2 linked regions of the Neodiprion lecontei genome follow. The protein of the gene in region 2 interacts with the protein of the main gene of each other region in a biochemical or structural test. Links are inferred from orthologs where the notes say so. Each region holds a gene or a part of one and is shown on either strand. Other genes may lie near its edges. The genes, in order: tubulin-specific chaperone D and ADP-ribosylation factor-like protein 2.

What was found.
Region 1: the proteins of ADP-ribosylation factor-like protein 2 (region 2) and tubulin-specific chaperone D form a complex in vitro, tested with the Homo sapiens proteins (2 studies listed by BioGRID and IntAct). The link is inferred for Neodiprion lecontei from reciprocal best matches to the Homo sapiens genes ARL2 and TBCD.

The regions. Positions count from the first base shown.
Region 1 is NC_060260.1:5,329,187-5,333,121, forward strand, and holds the start of tubulin-specific chaperone D, read left to right. Parts: upstream 1-1,676; 5' UTR 1,677-1,881; coding exon 1,882-2,223; intron 2,224-2,346; coding exon 2,347-2,525; intron 2,526-2,665; coding exon 2,666-2,804; intron 2,805-2,922; coding exon 2,923-3,109; intron 3,110-3,194; coding exon 3,195-3,417; intron 3,418-3,550; coding exon 3,551-3,699; intron 3,700-3,844; coding exon 3,845-3,935. Other genes in the region: uncharacterized protein LOC107223765, read left to right, coding at 1-68, 171-450, 536-655.
Region 2 is NC_060261.1:42,485,253-42,488,977, forward strand, and holds ADP-ribosylation factor-like protein 2, read right to left. Parts: upstream 1,988-3,725; 5' UTR 1,860-1,987; coding exon 1,795-1,859; intron 1,623-1,794; coding exon 1,133-1,622; 3' UTR 569-1,132; downstream 1-568. UniProt on the Homo sapiens protein: Small GTP-binding protein which cycles between an inactive GDP-bound and an active GTP-bound form, and the rate of cycling is regulated by guanine nucleotide exchange factors (GEF) and GTPase-activating proteins (GAP).

The sequences.
Region 1 (3,935 bases), on a different chromosome or scaffold from region 2:
AACACTTCAGCACACAAAGTTCTAAGTCAGCCCAACGGACAATTACATTTTCCACGACCAGCCAAAAGGTGTGTAAATGCTTTAGGTCTATTTTATTAACCACATATCCAATGTTACACTTGTAATTATGTAGCTGGATTGTGTTATTTATGAATATGTTGTGTTTATAGAGTCTACAATATGGAGTCAATACAAACTGACTTAACTTCAATTCCAAAACAGCCTCGCCTAGTTTACCCTGGAGACTTTAAACAATTGAATTCCAATAATGTGAAGCAGGATTCCAAAAACTGGATCGCTCTCAACAATTATATTAAAAAAATGAGAAGGAACATGAAGGTGCTGCAACAGCGCAATAGAAGACTAGAGAAGCGAGTAACAGACCTTAAGACTGTTGTTAAGTTTTTGAAAAACAGGATCGTGACAAGAGATTCTGCAGCGATTCGATTGGTAAGTCGCTGCACAGTATTTGAGGCTGTTAAAAAATAAGATGTGATATGTGGGTTTGAAAATAACATTTTATTTGAATACTTAGTGTGGGCACTCAGACTTGCCTGAAAAGAAAGAATGTTTGCCTAAAAATCACTCGAACCAAGTGGCGCATTTTTTGGGAGATCATGATTATGTCGCCAGCAAAAACTGGTCCATCTTGTAATATCCTGAGAAGGTTGCGGCGTAGATTGCTGGATTTATTATTGTACCACTTGTCTGGATCTACTCACTGGAAGAAGGTCTATGCCGTTACTTCCTGAGAAAAAACGGAAGGGGAACCTTTACCATTGCAGTGTAATGATGATATAGGACTGCAAGCCGAGTTGGTGGGAAGATTCGTACTGATCAAGGAGAAACTGGCATAATGGGTAATTCAGTTGTAATTTTTTGGGAATCCAAAACCACCTGTGTTGTTAATTGTTACTGATATATTTCTATATTTCAGATCAAGCACTCAGTGTGCCCTTCCTTCTGAGGATCGCAACTTGGACATATTTTTTCATGGGATTACTAGAGATTAACTGGATTGTTTTCACATACCAAATCTAACTGGACTAGATCGCAATGGGATACTGATAATATTTAACTTTGACACAAATAATAGCACTAGGCTTCACAATATAATGGTCAATTCAATTTTATTTAATTAGAGAAGTTCTGCTATTCGCCAACTTTGATATTAGTTTTTATAAAAATTTTTGGTGATGTAATATTTTCTAGCTTTATCTGAAATCTGTTCGCTCATAGCGATTTCAAGGTCTTGTATACTTAGCTCAGCTGACTGTGATTACACCTAGAGAAAATTTTGCCTTCGCCAAATTTCGTTGGCTAATTTATCAACAGTAATTTACAAAAATATTAAAAATTTATCTGCGTCTAGAACAATGTTTAACAATGGAGAATGATACCTCACAAATAAATCAAATTTATTGTTCGTTGATGTACTTTTAAGATCCATTTTCAGCATTAAGATTAGTTTTCTCCTTTATTACTTGAAATCTTTTTCTTACGATGTAAGTAGGAGTAAATTCAGGTGATTGTATAAACGTAAATTTTAATACGTGCGCAAATACATGGTCTATGGACGATCCAAGCGTTGCGCAGATGAGGTTAGACCACTATATAGTTAGATGGTAGCCTCGAATATCATTCGGACCAGTCGCGACTAACTTGTCATGATGAGTACGGTTTTTCATGTTTTAGAACACTTTGCTATCTGTCAACTGTCAAAATATCCTATCTGCTTGAACAAACGGCTTTGTAGTAAACGACATTGGATTATTCACCGTAAATGGAGCTTACAACATTACACGATTGAAAAGGAATATCATATTGTTATCTACTCATTCAACAGGCCATTCCTTCTACGATAGTAGCCATATAAACAAAATGGTCCTCAACGATGGACCTGATCCTGAAAGCATGGGCTGTGGATATAACATGATCAAAGAAATAGACGAAGTCACAGGACTGGTTGGAAAGTTGCGAGATTCGGATTTAACTCCGGCACAGATTGAAAGAAATCATGAGCGTTTTACCTTTATTTTGTCTCAATACCAAGATCAACCGCATTTGCTGGATCCATACCTGGACGATATCCTAGGTTCGATGTTGACCATCGTTAGAGACGACAATATTTCTGATGGTGTAAAACACAATGTCTTCAAATACATATTCATCATCATGTCTGTCAAAACATATAAGAAAATTGCCTCTCATCTTCCTCACGAGGTAAGCTTTGGTATATCACAATTTTCGCAAAATATTTATTTTATTATTATGCTAGTTACCTCGACACTTGTTAAACTTGTTGAATTCGGTTCTCTGATGTAATACAACTTACATTTGACTTAGGTAATGGATCTTGTGCCGGTTCTGCGTATGTTGGAAAAGCAAGACCCAAATGATTCGCTTACTTGGGAAACACGTTATGTACTTCTTGTTTGGCTATCTATTATTTCTAAAATACCTTTTCCTTTATCTCGATTGGAAACATCGAATGATATCAAACCTGAGGATATGATAACAAATAGGTATTACAGAGTTCCATATTAAAAATGATAAAGTTTTCAGTTGTGTCGTGTCTCTGCAATAATCAACATAACTGATTAATAAAACATATTTTACATCGAGTAAAATCTGTCGAACATCAAAGTTATTAAGTACTTTTCAGGATATTGAAGTTATGCAAACTGTATTGCCTATCAAAAGATGTTTGTTCAGTGGCGGCAGTATTTTTGATTGCGAATTTTCTGAATCGTTCAGATGTTAAGAAATTGTATCTTGAAGAAATTATCACATGGTGCTGCCAGGTGACTATTGAAAAGTTTAAGGTTTAATTGATCTATATTCGTATGTATTATCAATTTCAATTTTGATACAAAACTTGTTTCGAATTTGTTGTTTTGCTAACGATAACATTTTTATCAGTGTTTGGAAGTTAATTCTACAACTCACGGTGCTTTGGCAATACTTTCCTCAATATTGAAACATTGTGCTCGAGAAGATCTGAAGCCATATAGTCAAATGCTATTAGATAAAATTATGAAAATGAATTTGAGCGATAATCCAGACGCTCTCGTTAGAAAATTTGCTCTGAAAGTAATACAGCGCATTGGTAAGTAAATGAACATAAATAATACAGCTTCGTATTCAAATTGCATTCAATAATCTTATCTCTTCTTCGTAATATTCGAAATCAGGATTTGTTCTCCTACGAGCTAAAGTAGCTGATTGGAGGTATCAGAGAGCAAGCAAGACAATAAGCTTGCTACCTGAGAATAAAAAGAATCTAACAGCCATGAGTGTAGGGGACACAAATGAAATATCCTCCCAAGAGACTGAAGACCATGATATTCCTCCAGCAACAGAAGAAATTATTGAGCAGCTGATACAAGGTCTTCGCGACAAAAGTATTACCATCAGGTAAATTTTCATGCACAGGATGTCTTTAGAACAAATGTCAAGTCTGCTTTAAATTCATGGGCTTTATACCTACATAAGCATATCTTATGGGTAGTACTACTCATTACAATTGCGCATTTAAATAACTTATCAGATGGTCTGCAGCCAAAGGGATCGGGCGAGTAACAGCTCGCTTGCCAATTGATCTAGCTGATGAAGTGGTTGGATTTGTACTGAATTTGTTTTCTGGACGTGAATCAGATACGGCCTGGCATGGTGGTTGTCTAGCATTAGCTGAATTAGGTAAAAGCAGCATGATAAATTGAGTTAAACTGTCTTTCAGTATTCTGTACATTGTAAATCATTCGGATATTAGCTTAATTATGGTGGACATGACAGTGATTTTTCTATGCAAGGTATGACTCTTACTACTCATTGTGTCTGGCAGGGCGAAGAGGATTACTATTACCTCATAGATTAGGAGATGTTATTCCTTTGGTTCTTCAAGCATTGGTATTTGATGAACCTCGAGCTTACGG
Region 2 (3,725 bases):
GTGGTCTAATATCTGCATTAATTCGTAGAAAAATGAAAAATAACCAACAATATTTGATTATAGCCAATATCTAAGTCTCGGCACTAATTGACAACTGAAAAATCGAGACTGTTTATTTGTTGTGGTGAAACTAGACGGTGGAATCATGGTGCAGGGAGATCATATCCTCGGTATTTCGTGTAATATTTTCTTTGTCGCAAACTTTATGTTAGAATATCAGAGACCAGGGATTTGCATAAATTTCACTAGGTGGTGCCTAAGATGATCTCATTGTCATGTTGCCCATCGATAAGTTAATATTGGCGATTTACTCGGTAGAACAAGTTTTGATCCCAAAATCAATCCGCGGCCGTTTTCTGCTTTATATCTAGATTATAGCAACTGTAAAAGTGAATAGAAGCAAGATATTTATATCAATTAATATCCAGAAATACTGCAATTTTACTTTTATCAACTTTTATCAACTTTTGAATGCGGTGTTCTGGCTATTATAAGGAAACGAAAATTCGTCGTTGTAATATCAATTCCATTCAAGTAAAGTGAACGCACGTGTGTATATATGATAACGAGAAAGAATCTTTGCAGTAAAAAATTGTAAGTATTATTATTTAAATCGAATTAATACATGGAATAATTGGAATAGTGTAAGCATAATACAAAAGCTAGCAGTGTTATGCCTAGTCAGTCCATACTAAGACTAAGCCTATAAACGTAAAAATCGATCTTGCGTATATTGCGTACCTCTAATTTATACAGTTTTGTGGAGAGCTTGTAAAAAACGTACTTACAGATAATTATAACAGTGATGTTCAAACGAACAGCCCTCCAAAATTGATTGCAATCGTAAAATAATAAAAGGTCGAGCATGAAATGGCTGTATGTTTGGTAACAAAAAAAATCTTATAAACATATCATCCATTTTTGATAGATATACTTATTAAGCCATATCAGAGATCAATTAATGTATCGTAATAATATTACAAAGTACAAACGGAAAAATTTTGCAATTCCGTTATATTTTTCTTGTTCTCTTCGACTAATTGTTTCAGCCGGTGAATTTTTCAGCAGAATATATGAAAAAATTTGCTCACAATAAATACAGATATCTAAATGCTATGACCATAATGTGGTATTAATCAAGGTAGAATATCCGAGCTGCAATGTCATCGATTATCCAGTTTATTCCTTCAAGCAAATTTTCGGCCGTGACAGCTGAGCATTTGTAGATCTGCCAATGATGGGATTTTATAGACGACAAGTCGAGCACTTCGGCAATTTCAGGAGCTGAAAGAGCTCCTGGAAGATCCTGTTTGTTGGCGAATATCAGCAGACTGGCACCTTCCAGTCTCTCTTCTTGTAGAAGTTTCACCAGCTCAGCCTTGCAGTCTTCTAAGCGTCTCTTATCGGCGCTGTCGACAACCCATATCAAACCATCCGTGCATTCAAAATAATTACGCCAATAAGAACGGAGGGATTTTTGCCCTCCGACGTCCCATATATTCAGTTTGTAGCCTCGGTGCTCCAGTGTTTTGATATTGAATCCAAGTGTGGGAGAAATTGTGTCTATTGGTTCTCCGATTATTCTTTTCAGTATCGTAGTTTTCCCTGCATTGTCCAATCCCCTAGAAAACGGATATTCAGTATCAGACGTTGCAATAAATGTCGATGTCCTGAATATTGAGTTTTATGCAAACTTCTCGAGTCGTCTTATTTCCTAATACGGAAATTTGGAATGGAGTACAGGAGCATATAACCTCAAAAACGATCTACGTCGGACAACTTTAAAATACCTACAGCATCAGTATTCTAACTTCCTTTTCCTTCTGCTTTAACTTTTTGAGAACTGTTAACAGCCCCATGTTACCGATATTACTTTTCCGAGATAAAGCTGTGATTTAATGTGGTAATTTCAAACGTCAGCTGACACTGACAATTCAAATTTCGGCACGCGGTTGACGTTTGCTTTGCAGACAATGAGAGAACCGAGGGTCACGTTTTTCGCTTTCTTCGATTACTAGCGCCTTTCGAGACGAACTGGGTTTTCGGAACTAATTTCCAGTTGTAGGCGCATGTCGGCAACCGCTTTGCCTCCAGCTTCCCATTACAAAAAACTGTCGATAATGTAGAGAATATTTACTTTCGCGAAATGCCCATTGATGACTGAGAACACATTACACGCTCGGCCTTTTCTCAGTTTACAATTCTTAAACTTAGCCATCGTTTCAAAGCTAGTAGAGCATTGGATTGACGAAATCCGGTACTAGATTATTTTTTTCGCCTGTTGGGGACGCTAAGTAGGTGAAGTGCTAGTCAGTAATCTCACCAATTTCATAGTGTTTACTAGTGAAAGAGGACATTATTGAGTGTAACACTAGACTTTTATCTATGTCTAAAGCGCTAAATATAAAACGATAATTAATAATTTAATGTCAGAATGTCAGGTGACTGTGCCGCATTGCCAAATATTCACTTAGTGGCTATTCTTCAAACTGTCGGTAACTTACCATTCAATTTCTCTAAAACGCGGAGTTTCATAAGGCTGATGAAAACTCTAACACTTCAGTAAAATATTGTGGTGACTCACAGTCCGTGAACTGAGCAGTCAGTATTCAGTCTTATTACCCTTTGACGTAAGCCTTTTCATAATTTTTGAGTCAGCAATCGAATAGTTCTCCCCCAATAATTTTTTTTTATCTATGTCGTTTACACTATATCACACATGAAGATCCTTAAATCTTTCGTCCCTTATGATTGACTATAACTGAAAACGAACGCTCACGGTAGTTACAGATGCTGAGGATGATTAATGAGTCTGATTAATAATCAGATCAGTGACAAGCATCGAAATTCGCCTTTGGACTGGAGCATCTTAAACGGGTTGTCTGATCACCACCATAAGACGATGTCCGATCGGATCGTTTCCTTTTGCAATATGACGTCAACGTGATCTACTGAAATCAAGTCTGAAGGATTGCAAGAAGACTCGCACAGCTGCTGAAGTTGATTGAAAACTGCCCCCGCTATCAGGAGAATATCTGAGCACAGGAGGTGGCACTAAAATAGGAATTGATTGGTTCATTTGCTCGCGTTGTCGATGCTGTGTGTCTGCACGCGTGCCTGTTTACCTGAAAGAAAAATGCTTCGTCTGATCCTGGACCCATTTGAAATAACGCAAATCAATTATTGTTAGCCCAGAAATTCTTCTAATATTAGAAGAATATACAAGAACATTTCGTGGTTCAAAACAAGGAGCTGATGGCGATATCAAGTGTCTGTTACTCTATTGGACTCTGTGGAATTATCTTGTATAGCGCGTTCACGCCGTTGACTGAAGATCTATAAAGACTGTTGGCCTAGTGGGGCTTTCCGTTATTCCGTAACCGAAAATGTACGAGAGAAATTCACACTGAACTTTATGTTTCAAGCAGCGCTCTCTGCGTCGCGCAACTCAAGTCGGTAAGCGATCGGTACGTAAAGACGACAAGCACTAATGTTACCATCACTCGACGTGTGTACCCAGATGGATAATGCAGTGTTATATATTATTATCCCCCCAAAAAGCACTTTCGCCAAGTACGTAAATGTGGTCATTACCCACAAAATACCTTCTCTGATGAAAAATGTATGCATATTATTATAATCGGCTTATACAAAAATATTTCACAAAAACACAGGATACATAAATATTCTCATCCTTTAAGAAAAAATATTTAAATCGCATACTA